Linked DNA regions of Astyanax mexicanus. The protein of the gene in region 1 purifies or fractionates together with the protein of each later gene. This does not show direct contact. Links are inferred from orthologs where the notes say so. Each region holds a gene or a part of one and is shown in the gene's direction. Other genes may lie near its edges.

Evidence for each region. Proteins that work in one complex are often made in the same cells at the same time.
Region 2: the proteins of usp36 (region 1) and dgcr8 purify together in Homo sapiens (affinity purification with western blotting; 3 studies listed by BioGRID, with this or other methods). This does not show direct contact. The link is inferred for Astyanax mexicanus from reciprocal best matches to the Homo sapiens genes USP36 and DGCR8.

What each region holds. Positions count from the first base shown.
Region 1 is NC_064426.1:43,489,086-43,496,415, forward strand, and holds the start of usp36 (ubiquitin carboxyl-terminal hydrolase 36), read left to right. Parts: upstream 1-4,240; 5' UTR 4,241-4,393; intron 4,394-6,731; exon of another isoform or gene 6,732-6,840; intron 6,841-7,330. Other genes in the region: timp2b (metalloproteinase inhibitor 2b), read left to right, coding at 886-1,083. UniProt on the Homo sapiens protein: Deubiquitinase essential for the regulation of nucleolar structure and function. Required for cell and organism viability.
Region 2 is NC_064429.1:36,412,514-36,419,805, reverse strand, and holds the start of dgcr8 (microprocessor complex subunit DGCR8), read left to right. Parts: upstream 1-4,034; 5' UTR 4,035-4,159; intron 4,160-5,584; 5' UTR 5,585-6,016; coding exon 6,017-6,742; intron 6,743-7,292. Other genes in the region: tia1l (cytotoxic granule-associated RNA binding protein 1, like), read right to left, coding at 1,129-1,157.

The sequences.
Region 1 (7,330 bases):
AATCAAATTCTTTCATGAGGCAAAAACAGGCCTAAGCACTGTTAAAAACCTCTTAGATATAATAAAGACAGATAAAATGTGTATATATATATATATATATATATATATATATATATATATATATATATATATATATATATATATAGTTTTGTAAATGTGTTGATACTTCAATACTTATTCAATACATAACCTATGTTGATACGTTGTTAACACCAGCTGCTGCTTTAAAAAAATCCTAATAATGTTAGAGGAAATGTTGCAGTATGACGTAAAATAAGTTGGTAGTTGTCCGGATTAAAAAAATCCTAATGTTTGAGGAAGTGCTGCAATATGACAAAATAAATCTGTCATTATTTAGCTTTTAAAAAATCCTACTGTTAGAGAAAACATTGAAATATATGAAATAAAATAAATCTGTCATTGTTTAACTTAAGAAATCGTAAGGTTACAGGAAACTCTGCAATATGACATAAAATTAATCGGTCATTGTTTGACTTTTAAAAAATTCTAATGTAAGAGAAAATGCTGCAATATGATGTCACAAAGCAGTTTACAGCAATGTGATCACAGATTAATTTGACATCAGTTGTAAAAAGCGCCATACAAATAAATTTGATTTGATGATTTGATTTGATAGTTTGCCTTCAAAACGTCCTAAAATTCCTAGTTAGAGGAAATACTTTTTACCATTTTTTTGTCTAAATGTTTCCGTTTACCAAATATTCGTTGTATCCTTATTTCTGATGTTATATAACACAAAATAAATCAGTCATTGTTTGGCATTTAAAATCCTAATGTTAGAGGAAACTCTGCAAATGCGATATATAATATTCTAATCTTTGTACTTTATTGTAACGTCTGTTTCTCTCATGCGTTTTCTGACAGATCGTTCGCTGTGCCTCTGTTCCCTGTGCGGTTAATGATCCAGTAGAGTGTCTATGGACGGACTGGATCACGGAGAGCACTGTGGCGGGTCCCCAGACTCAGCACTACACCTGCATAAAGAGGAACGATAACTCCTGCGCCTGGTACCGCGGCGCCGCCCCGCCCAAGACCGATTTCATGGACATCGAGGATCCGTAAACCTGCAGACAGCAGCACACTCCAGAGCTCGCTTTAGAAAGGCCTCTAAACACTGCTACGGACCCTTTAACATAATCCTGCCCTTCTTCACCTGTATTTAGTACTTTTACACCACAGTTCCTGTTACATAACACGAGATGAAAGGATATGGCAGAGGTGAAGTTCTCGGACTTTCTTAAGCACTTTGAGTCCCCAGTAGCACCTGGCTGTGACCTTACGCTGTAGAGAAAATACATTTTTAAAAAAAGCTAGTACCACTTTTAGCGTTTTTCTATTTTTTATATTTGGGAGGTAATTAAATCACAGCAAGCATGAAAAATTGCTAATAGTTATTTTATCTAATCCATGCTAAATGCTTTTAAGATGATAATGATTAGATAAATGCTCTATTCGGGAGGTGGAGTTATGTAATGTAAAGTAATGTTACTATAGGACGCCTTTAAAATTTATGACAATAATGCAATCTGGTGATATGCTAGTTTATGTATGTTGTAATATATATATACAAACATTTCTAATTTATATCTAAACATTCCATTATCTTGTTTTTTCACACAATAAAAATAGAATACCCTTTTTCCCCATTCCTATTTTTACATTTTTCTATAATTTTGTGTTTTTATTGTTAAGAGTTAAACCAGAGTTGAGGCGATTAATGTTTATAATTTCCAGTATTCCTCCAGTCTTTCAGTCCGATAATCTTCAACATTCAACATTCAAACGTCAATTGTGTGGAAAAGGTTGTGAAGCCTATGTTTAATGTAGTCATTTTGTATATCATGGTATTGTTTTTTTAGTATTTTTTATTTCTATGCTCCTGTACTGTGTTTGTTTTTCAAATGTTTGAATGTTTTTTTTTTTGTTTTTCTTTTTTTAGTATCACAAAAATAAATAAGTGTGAGATTTCCGGTGCTGGAACCACTTGGGAAGACTTTGAGAGCTAACCTGTGCATGCCTTTCATAATTCTGTATTATTCATGTTGGTTTAACAGTTTTAAATAAAGGAAAAGAAAAGCACTTAATGGAGTCTTGGGATTTTGTGTGATATACATTATATTGTTTCTTTTTTGTTAAGTTGAAACCTCTATATAGACTTTCCTTACTTTTTTATATTTAAAAATAGCAACTTTAGACTTAAATTTTACTTTACTTCATTTACATTTATAGCATTTATCTGATGATCTTATTTAGAGTGACTTACCAGGTTATTCCTATTACAGAGTTGGGCCAATTTAGTGTTAGGAGTCTTGCCCAAGGACTCTTATTGTGTGTATGTATAAACATATTTGACTAGAGTGTTTTAGAGAATATACTGGAGCATCCAAGCCTCCACTACCAGACACTGCAACAGCTTCTTCCACCAGGCAGTCAGACTCCTCAACACACAGAGACGGAACTGAACCCCCCCTCAATAAACACATTTAGACTGTACTGTGTCGGTACTGTACAATATTTCATGGTATTTTTGCAATAACAATACTCTTGGCGATACGATAAAACACTAAATAAAAAATAAAAAATGCACTACTGCAACAAAATAAAAATTTAATTTTATAATTGCAATACGATATATGACGTACCCCTAACTGAGATATAAAAAATACAAGAATTTTATCAGATTTGTAACAGAAGTCAATGATCCAGAATGCCATGATACTAATAACAATGCACTTCAAATATCTCCATATATTCAGGATTAAAGTAAAATAAATTATACTGGACAGATATAATCTGTCTGTAGTAGATACATAATGGGAAATGAGAACAGTGTGAATTTTTCTTTTGATAAAAACAGTATAAAAGTAGAGCCCTGATGTGATAATTAATTAGGGGTGGGTGATATAGTACGATATTTCAGGGTATAATATCGTTCACCATATTAAAAAATGTTGGCAATATTATTGTGTACGATATGATATGGCACACAGCCAATATAAACTCACGTGTATATACACCTCTGGAAAAAAAAAACAAAGAGACCACTTAAGTTGATGAAATGAAGAGATCACTTCAGTTTCTGAATCAGTGTCTCTGATTTTACTATTTATAGGTTTATGTTTGAGTAAAATGAACATTGTTGTTTTATTCTATAAACTACAGACAACATTTCTCCCAAATTCCAAATAAAAATATTCTCATTTAGAGCATTTATTTACAGAAAATGAGAAATGGCTGAAAGAACAAAAAAGATGCAGAGCTTTCAGACCTCAAATAATGCAAAGAAAACAAGTTCATATTCATAAAGTTTTAAGAGTTCAGAAATAATCAATATTTGGTGGAATAACCCTGTTTTTTAATCACAGTTTTTTCCATGCATCTTGTAGTACGGTGGCCAAGAAAGCCCAGCGCAGTGCAAATTGAAAAGCGCTGCAAAAGCACAAAACACATCCATCAAAATTACAACACAGGCGCTGCAAATAGAAAAACGCGCTGCAAATAGAACCACAACACAACGGAAGTGAGTCACAACACAACGGAATTTTCCCGGGGGACCTTAAAAGATACTGTACCAGCTAAGCTGCGTCTTCAGTAACATCTCGGACTTCACTATGTGTACAAAGGACAAAAAGTGGCAAACAAGGCGTTTTGTGAAGCAGAACTTTTAATAAACATAACTTACTTTTCAGAAGCTTGTTTGCCACTTATTGTCCTTTGTATACAGCTGGTACAGCATCTTTTAAGGTCCCCCGGGAAAATTCCGTTGTGTTGTGACCCACTTCCGTTGTGTTGTGGTTCTATTTGCAGCGCGTTTTTCTTTTTGCAGCGCGTTTTTCTATTTGCTGCGCCTGTGTTGTAATTTTGATGGATGTGTTTTGTGCTTTTGCAGCGCTTTTCAATTTGCACTGCGCTGGGCTTTCTCGGCCACCGTAACTCCTCCACCAGTCTTACACACTGATTTTGGATAACCTTATGCCTTTACTCTAGATGTTTTCAATTTGGTAAAATCAGAGAAAATCATCATTTTTAAGTGCTCTCTTATTTTTTCAGAGCTGTATATATATAGTGAACTATAGTGTTTAAATTTTATTTTTTTGGACATTATGTCCTATAGCATAGTAAACAAGAAAACGTGATCAGAGCAGTCGCTGGCTGAGTCTCGTCCTCTGATTGGTCAACAGAAATATGAATGAAGCGCCGCGTCAGACTTTTCCCCGCAGCTGATTGGCTGGTGTGTTCCGTTCATCATTGGAGGCCCCGCCCTCAGATAATGCAGCATGGGGGAGAGAGCGCAACAAAATGAAGGACTTCAGAGCCGCCGATGGTCTTTATAGTACCGCAGACTGAACGATTCCGGCTGCTCCGCGGATGGGTATGTACAGTACGGTGTTTTTAACCCATACTAAAACATCTACACAACGTTATCTCCAGTGAACGGCTCGTGTCGTGCTCGGTTTATCGGTATAAAGAAACCCCCGTTCCCGCGGCGGGGTGGTGGTGGTGGTGCAGTACTGCACACGGCGCAGCTGCGGATCCGGGGTGTTGCGTCAAATTGCGCTACCCGTCAAAATGTGCTCCCTACCTACACTGCGCATGCGCTGGTGTGTTTATTTTTGTGAAGAAAAAATGTTTTCTCCATGATAAATGATTTAGCTATAATTTTCATTGGGTTCATTAAACCTAAATATCATGGTGCTGCTTTATGTATATATATTATTGCATTGTCATTTCAATGTGTATTATTTTTTTAATTATTAATATTTTGGCTATTTTGTTTTCATTGTCTTACTAAAACCGTATCTTTTGTTTATGCGTTTATTTATTTGTTTATGTATTCGTTTGTTTTGCCTCAGGGCAACATAAATATGCAGTTACATAACAAGGTTAACATGACAAGCAGTGGTATTTCTTCTTCTTCTAATTGTTATTAATATTAATATTATTATTATTATTATTATTAATATTATTATCATTATTATTATCGTTATTATTATTATTTTATTATTTTTCTCAACAAATATGAAAATCATGCTATAGAGAGTTTAAAAAACTCCAGTGTCATTATTTGCTTGAACAGTTTAATATATGTGTATTGTATTATCACCTCTACCTCTAACTAAAGTAATGTTTTAACTTTTACTTTAATTCAGATTCTTTTTAACTATCCACATATCCTACTTAAATATTTGAAAACAGCATGTTGTTTTAATATGGTGTAATATTCTTGTCGTATTTTAGTAGCTATATTAGATACATTTCAATAATACACTATGGTAGCAGTTTTTGGCGGGGTAGCACATATTGACATAACACCGTGTTCGTACACTGTAAGGCAGTAGTAGTTGTGGAAGCAGCAGCTAGGCCAGGCAGCGCTGTGTTTTAGCTAAATATCTATACCTATAATTATACCTGTACCACCGTATCTTTTAGTGTCGTAGGGAAATATAAATATGGTCATATTAACCTATATATGGACGAATAATCAGTTTATATATGTTATGCTTTGGTGTATGTGTTAGGTTAGCTAGGTTGGTTGATCCAGACTAGTCGCTGCCATGTGGTTGAGTATGATGCTGATGTTTGGCCTCACCTGTGTGGACGAGTAGCCAGCGTGGGGTTTAGTTAGGTGGCTTGCTACAGCTAAATGTGTTCCTAAATACATATACATATATTGACTTTTTGGACAAATTCTACCTGTTCTAGATACATATACTGTCACTTTGTTCTTAATGCTGCTAGCTAAAATTAGGATTAGTAGTTGTTTGTCAGTGGAACCACCCTGCGAGCAAATAAAACATTAACATTTAATATTTAAATAACGTTGCATTACCTACCTTTTTTAGAGTTGATGGGAAAACAACATCTAAACAACCTTTATAAACCATTGCCTAAAATAATGCATGGGTTCGTGTAAAAATTCATACATAAGATGCATTGAATCTACGTTCATTTAAAGGTTTTAAATGGCTGTGACTTTTCTTACTCTAGCTCTTACTCTAACTACTCTCACATTAATGCTTTTAGATAAAAGCTTATATTAGTGCTCTTCTCAAATAATATTTTTTTTATTATTTTTTTAATAGTAATAATTATTATAATTATTATAATAAATTATTATATAATTATTAGAGAAAGTTAATATTATATAATTAATTATAATAATTATTATTGTTTAAATGTCTATTTAGACTGCGATTTACACGATATAACAACCTATGTTACACGTTGTAAGTTAGTTATGTAGCTAAGTAAAGTTCAATATAAAACAGACATAACGTTGTATCAACGTATGATTGGTGTGCACAACTAAATCAGTCCTGAAGCTGGATAAAAATATTGTTTTAATGCATTAGAAAAGGAAAATTAATGTTTATTTAATATATTTTTTTCTGTCAGGATAGTTAGCTTGGTAGGTTAGCCAGTTCACGAGCTATGGTAGAAAACATGCATGCGTTAGCACTGTTGCTAACTATAATTTTTCTGACAGGATTATTGGCATGTTCGACCCCAATTTGTGACATTATTGTCTGTTTATTAAATTTATCTTAAATATAATCTTTTAATATTGCGTAGCTCGTTGGTCTGTCATATAGTTTGCTACAAGTGAGCTAGCTAGCTTAGTTAGCTTGCTAATAATTCCCACAGGTTTAAACGTAGGCACCAGAAAACGAAAACGTTAGCTTAGCATTGCTTGCTAGCTTTCCTAGTGCACGAGCTCTGGTAGAAAACATGCCTGCGTTAAGCTGAGCTAGCACTGTTGCTAACTAGTCATTTTGGCTTTTTAGCTTTTAAATGGTCCTTTTCCTGACAGGATTTCTGGTCCGTAAGGCTCCATTTTTTATATTATATATTTATACAGCGTAAAACTTATTCTAAACTATTTAATATTGTGTCGCTTGTTGATATAATGTAATATAGACTAGCTAAGGTAGAAAACATGCCTGCGTTAGCACTGTTGCTAACGATCATTTTTTCTGACAGGATTCTTCGCGTGTTCGACCCTAATCTGTGACATTATTATTTAATTATCGAGTTTAAAGTTAATCTTTTAATATTTCTTTGCTGTTTTAATATAGTGTTATAGCAACCTAGGTTACCTAGCTAGGTTGCTAATGTTTCCCACAGGTTTAGGCAAAATGCATTAGTATAGCATTAGAAAACATGCTTACGTTAGCACTGTTGCCAACTAGTCATATTGGGTTTTTAGCCTTAAAATAGCTGAGCTAGTTGCCTATGTCTGACAGGATTCCTGGTCTATATTGTATATTCTTTTCACATTATTGTCTGCATCTTGCCTAAATTTAACATT
Region 2 (7,292 bases), on another chromosome or scaffold:
TTAAGTTGATGTAAAACACATGACAAGCTCCATAGCAAAGGCAATTACAATATTTCTTAATACAGGACAGCAAAATAAAGTAAAACAGATTTAAAATTATTTACATTATGAAACATAATATAAATGCAGCCCTAATCTTAACCACCCCAAACTATACCTGAACTTCATTTCTGCCACGTTTTCACAAATGAATCATGATTGAAGCCATAATTTATGTGGGAATGGCGATTTAACGCTTTAAATCGCTTTTTAAAAAACGCTTTAAAAACGTTACAGGCACGGGAGCTTTATTAGTGTATATTTACGTTAGATTTATTTAAAACAAAAAGTGTTTATACACGAAAATTGACATTTTTTGCGTCACACGCGACTCAACAGCTTCAAATGTAGTTAGATAGTTACCCATCAGAGCTAGTCTAGCAGAAAGTGAAACTAGAGAACTAACAAAGCGTGCAAATACTCGAGCAGACCCCAATTAACTAACACTAACTCAGCTAATGCTAAAAACCGATTAAATTGATTAATCAGGTTGTTTAAGAGTTGAAACGACTAATAACTGAAACTGATTCATTTCGGAAGCTCAAACAAGGCCGGCGAGTCCAGCTCAGTTTTAGCTTCAGTTTAAGATTTAATTCGGCATTTTATCCTGCTCTGATTTGACTTATAATCCATTAAAAATGTTTTTAATGAAGTCAAATGTTTGTTTTATAAGCTAAGTGTGATTTAAAGACAGTTTAAGCTCGGATTTCTCCAAATCGCGCTGATTCGATTCGATTTGAGTCGAGTTTAGGCGCTTTGAGCAGCCTCCTGGCTAGCCTAGTTATTAAAATTCCGTTAAATTGACGCTTCTAATCTATTTTAATACAGGAAAGCAGCCGATTATCCATTTTAATCGCGATTTATTTTCACTTTGGCGCGATTATTCAGCCCGATTGTACCCGAATTCGAGTTTTACGGCTTTATCTGCCGCATGATGCTAAGCTAAAGGCTATGCTAAGCTAAGCTAACTGTGGCCACGGTGGCCTAGCCTAGCCGTGGTTAGCTTAGCCGTTAGCATAGCATGGCGCTGCTGTTCTCCTGCAGCGCGCGGAGCGGCCCGCGCGAGCGGACGGGCTCGCGGGTACTCACAGGGTCTTGGGCTGGTCGTCGTCCATCATGCTGCGGGCTGAGAGCGCGGGAGCGGCGGGGAATCGGCGGGGGTTCTGCGGGTCCGGGCGGGTTGATCTACCGGCTCCGAGTCTTTTGTGCTAAAGAGAGAAAACGCCAGAATAACTTCCTCTAACCTTACTGGAGATACGTAGCCGCGTGACGTCGCGAGCCAGGCCGGCCAGCCAATCATATGCGCCACAGACTCCGGAGCGGCACGCCGATATCGGTGTACCGGCGAATCCTGCACCCCTCCGTTTTCCTGCCTGTCGCGATCTGATTGGCTGAAGCCAACGATTTCCTTTTGTCTTTTGTACATGTAATTTTTGTAATTAATTAATTAATTCATTCATTCGTTATTATTTTTTTTTTTATAAAAAGCTAATTTTAAAAAATCATTGCACCAGAAGTAAAGCAGCATAAAGTTATCCAAAAGCAGTGTGTAAGACTGGTGGAGGAGAACATGATGCCAAGATGCATGAAAAAAACTGTGATTAAAAACTATGATTATTCCACCAAATATTGATTTCTGAACTCTTAAAACTTTATGAATTTGATTTTTTGCATTATTTGAGGTCTGAAAGCTCTGCACATTTTCTGTTATTTCAGCCTTTTCTCATTTTCTGCAAATAAATGCTCTAAATGACATTTAGATTTGGTGAAATTATATTTTTATTTGGATTTGGGGAGAAATGTTGTCTGCATGTTATAGAATAAAACAACCATGTTCAAAAGTCAAAACCACTAATTGGTAAAGTAACAAAGGTAAAAATTAAGTAAAAATGTTTACACGTGAAATACTATAAATAAATATGATTGTGCATAAAAGGAAAAGAAATCAAATGGAAGAGAATATGTCGCTCTTTAATGACAATATTTTGTATTTTTCTTACTAAAATATTGTTTTTTTTTATTATTTTTTGCCTTTGGGTCTAGAGCATACAGTTAGACCACATTTGTTAGGGGAATAAGGCTAATAATGCAGTAGTAGTTATTATTTACCTGAAGTAAAATCTAAAATATGTAATGTAAATGTCAAAAATCATGCCGTATAGTGTTAATATACATTTTTATTATATAAGTCAGATTACTATATACTATTTTTGAGATATTGATATTTTAAAAATGTACAATACAGTATGACTTTGGACCTCTAAAAATAACTATTTAATACCACACATGGGTTTAAGTTACACTATGATTAATACTGCAATTATAATTAATTAAATGAATTATTTGAACATTTCCTCTTGATGCATGTTTCTTTAATCCCTGTATCAGTGTAATGGTGTGTTAGGGCAGGGAAACCCGTATATTCAGAACTCTGGAGCAGGAAAGTTTTGGGGGAAAACGACTATTTTTAATCATTCTTTGTTGTGGGAGGTTGAGGTGGCACGAGTTTTTAATCAGGCAGCCGCGACAGAGCCCCAAGGGTCCTTGGGGTGCAGTATTTGCCACGTGATGCATTCTGGCACGCCGCACCGGCAAAGAGGCGGAGTGCGCCAAAATCGTGAGGAGGCGTTCGATTCAATTTAGCGCATCGATTCTGAGTTTTTCAGTGACTCGTAGAGTCGGTTCAGATTTAGCGGTGCTGGAACTAATCAGACACATAAATTAAATAAAATATTTAAATATATTATTGCAAAAACTACTGAACTAAGTACACCTCTAGACGTTATTAATAGGTTTGCTCAATGATATTGTCATTATGTCGGTATGGGACGATAATTTTTGCTTGTTTGTTTGTTTTGGGGTTTTTTTTGCCGGCATTGGCCGATATATAAACCCGAAACTTGCTGACTTACTTATATATTGTATTTTATTTATTGTAAGAATCAAGCGATGCAGACGACACTACTACAACTGTCCGACGCTGGCCACATTCCTTTTTTATTATTTATTTTTTATTAGTTTCGATAGATCTATCATTTTATTTAACCTGTTAATTTAAAAAAGAGGGTTTAACGTTTGTGCACAGCATACTCTCAACCGGAAACCACTGTCCACCTGAAGGACGTTCTGAGAGGCAACCATACATACAAACATATGAGCTACTAAGTCATAATTATTAAAAGGTCACATTTATGAGCTACTAAGTCATAATTATGACTTTGTAAGTCTGCGGGTATTATCTCATAATTATGAGCTTCTATGTCATAATTATGATATAATAATTCAAAATTATGAGCTACTAAGTCATAATTTTAAAATGGTGAGCCATAATTATAAGCTATTAAGTCATTATTATGAGAGGGTCATACTTATGAGCTACTAAGTCATAATTATAAGATGGTAAGTCATAAGTATGAGAGAGTAAGTCATAATTATGAAATGGTAAGTCATAATTATGAGATGGAAGGTCATACTTATGAAATGGTAGGTCATAATTATAAGATGGGGGGTATTATCTCATTCTTATGAGCTACTAAGTCATAATTATGAGATGGTAAGTCTGTGGGTATTATCTTATAATTATAAGATGGTAAGTCTGGGTGTATTATTTCATAAATATGAGGTATTAAGTCATAATAATGAGATTGTAAGTCTGAAGTATTATCTAATAAATATGAGATTGTAAGTTTGGGGTATTATCTCATAATTATGAGATATTAAGTCATAATTATGAGATGGAAGGTCTGGGGGTATTATTTCATAAATATGAGGTATTAAGTCATAATAATGAGATTGTAAGTCTGAAGTATTATCTAATAAATATGAAATTGTAAGTCTGGAGTATTATCTCATAATAATGAGATGGTAAGTCTGGGGGTATTATTTCATAATTATGACTTACTTTTTCCGGCGGAAATGTGCTTCCATTAGATTCGACTCGATTGATTCACTGAAAAGATCCGGTTGAAAAGAGTCGATTCGGGCGGCGAGCTGTTAGCTGGATCTCGGAGGCTACAGAAGATGGCGGAGAGAGGGGGCCGGCCGCCTCAGAGCTGCAGAACCGGGGAATAAAAGCCTGATTTACTGAATATTCCCTGATATTAGGAGGTTAGATAGGTGGGTAAGAGTTTACACACATTTTCTACACTGTTTTTATGGGTTAATTTATTGTGAATAATTGGTTTGTCGGGGGTAAACCCGGGTTTTAGCGGGTCGGGCTAATGCTAACCTGCTGCTGCAGCTCGGGTTTAAGCTACGTTAGGATCCTGTGGATGATTACTGGCTGATTTATAAACTGAATATTTCTATATTTTTGCGAATATAGCATTAGGTATATATAAATATAATGATTTAATTAGTATATAGAGTAAATGAGAGGCTGTTTGAGCTGTGCGCAGTCATTAAATAGCTCCTGAGTTGGTTAATTTATGAATTTTGACTCCCTGTTGATTCATTTCCATATAATTTGTTTTTCATATTTGTTTAATTTAAGTAAGTAAGTAATTCATAGTGGAGTCTGTTAGGGGTTTAGATCTATTTTAAATATTGCAAAATATATTATTATATTATTTAAAAAGTAGTTATATTGCGTTATTACTTGTGCATTATGTGTATTATCTATATTTGGTAAGTATTGTTGCAGGACTGAATTTGTATATACAGCTCTGTAAAAAATTAAGACAGCACTTCAGTTTCTGAATCAGTTTATCTGATTTCGCTATTTATAGGTTTTTATAGGTATTTATAGGTTTAACATTTTTGTTTTATTTTATATTCTCATTTAGGACATTTATTTGCAGAAAATTAGAAATGGCTAAAAAAAGAGCTTTCAGACCTCAAATAATGCAAAGAAAACAAGTTTGTATTAATAAAGTTTTAAGAGTTCAGAAATCAATATTTGGTGAAATAACCCTTGGCATGTTCTCCTCCACCAGTCTTACACACTGCTTTTGGATAACTTTATGCTGCTTTACTCCTGGTGCAAAAATTCAAGCAGTTCAGCTTGGTTTGATGGATTGTGATCTTCCATCTTCCTCTTGATTATATTCCATATTCTTATTTTTTCCAAAGCTGTATATATATATATATATATATATATATATATATAATCATATTGCCGCATGGATTTATTTAAGCTAATAGGTAAAAAGCCCCCATTGGATAAGAATTACAGCATGGGTTGTTTAACCCTAACTGATGCAGGGAGTAGCTTCTCATTTGTTAACAACCATGTGAAAATAATCATTGTGTAGTCAGGGAAAAGATGTTCATCTGTTTCAGGAGGGTCAAATTATTGGCATGCTTCAATACTTCAGAGAAAATATCTAATGATTATGAGAACCATAACACTGTTACGATAACTGTGTTTTAAAGGACAATATATTGTCTCAATAATTATTGCAGAAAATTAATGTGGAACGCATTATTAAAAAGTGGAATGACAGAAGAAATGTGGTCTGAGAAAAAAGCTTGAATGTCCTAAATGTCTTAAATCATGTAAAGTAACGTACATCAATGTCTGTGTTCTCTCTGTTGACTCCTGCAGCTGTGGCAAAGGACTGCGCCTCATGCGACAGGATGGACAGTGCTTAGACGTGGGCGAGGTTTAAGCTGAATGCATTGTGATTTCCAATAATTGAGACAGTGAATTGTAAAAAGCTGTCTACATTAATGAAAAGAACAATGTAGTCAGCTTAGCATATTCACCACTGTACGAGAGGTCTGCACGTGAGCGTGGTTCAATTCTGCAGCCGGCTACTGATGATGATGATGATGATGATGGTTATGACGGTGTCGCTCTGGTTTGTGTAGTTATTTGTAGGGCTGTTTGTTAATATTATTATTATTATTATTATCTATCTGTTAGTGTAGGATTCTCCCTATTGTCCATATTCCCAGCCAGACATTTGGTGTTTATTTTAGCAGTGTTTTTATCAGTGTTAGCATTAGCGCTAGCATTAGCGTTAGCAGTTGGACGATGGACGTCAGCGAGTTCTTTCCCCCTCTCCCGCTGGAGCCCCCCAGTGACGAAGGGTCAGGGAACGGTACGTGTAAAGCACCTCCACCACCTCCCCTGCAAACGTCCAGTGACGCCGAGGACATGGACGTTAGCTCTGGTGGTGATGGACCAGCGCTCACCCCGGCAGAGGACAGGGACGCTCCCATTCTTACCAAAGGCTCCGCCTCCTTAAGCTACAAGCGAAGCATCGCAGCAGCAGCCGACGCCCCCTGCGGTCCCGGCGGTTCCTGTCCCCGGACCGCCCGCCACGCGCCCCCCGTCACCAAATTCCTCCCCGACCTAAAGCTCCTCCGAGACGTTAAGATCAGCGTGAGCTTCGGCGGGGACAGCAGCAGCAGCAGCAGCAGCAGCAGCATTAGGAGCAAGGACAGGAAGGTCCTGTACACGGGCGCGGGACAGTTAGGACAGTTAGGGGACGGAGAGCAGGACGTAGGGAACGGACAGGTGTGCGGTGAGGGTGTAGAGCAGGGGGCGGGGCAGGTGAGCTCAGGGCAGGTAGACAGGAAGAGCGAGGAGGCCGAAGTCGAGCAGGAGAACAAGGTGGAGTTTGCGGTGTTGGACGAGCTGGAGGACTTCAGCGAGAACTTTCTGGAAGGAGACGACGGAGAGCAGAGTGAGTTCACCTCAGAGATGATAGTTCAGCAGGAGCGAACCAACGAGGAGGATCTCGGGTACGCCTACGAGGTACGTGAAACGTCTCTGGCGCAAGTTTTCTTTTCTTAATCTGATTTTCGATTTTTAATCGATTTTTTTTTTCCCCTACTAAAAATTACAGACTATACAAACTACAGATGACAAAGCAATGGTTAAAAACAAGTTTAAGAGTTTTCACTTTAACTACAAAAAGGAAATTTAAGTGCAACCAGAAACAAGCAAACAAAACACAATTGTAAACAGTGAAAACATCTAGTAACTTTTAGAAAGCTTTCTCTGACATATTTTAGGTACTGACACAATAAACCCTCAAACTTAAAAAATAAATAAATAAACACACCCTCAGAAACAATATAATAATATCTTAAAACGGATCGTGATGCCTGGAAGGAGTTGGGTTTGGCGGGGGCGTGGAAGGGAGGGGCTAACTTCACTTTGCACTATGGGAGCCCACAGGGGAGCGTCGGTGGTGGAAATTAAAACGATTTTCATAAAAACACATCATCCTGTAAATTCAAATTAATTGATAAAATCGACTAGCGAAAATAATGGAGATCCATGTAAACACAACAGGGAGTGG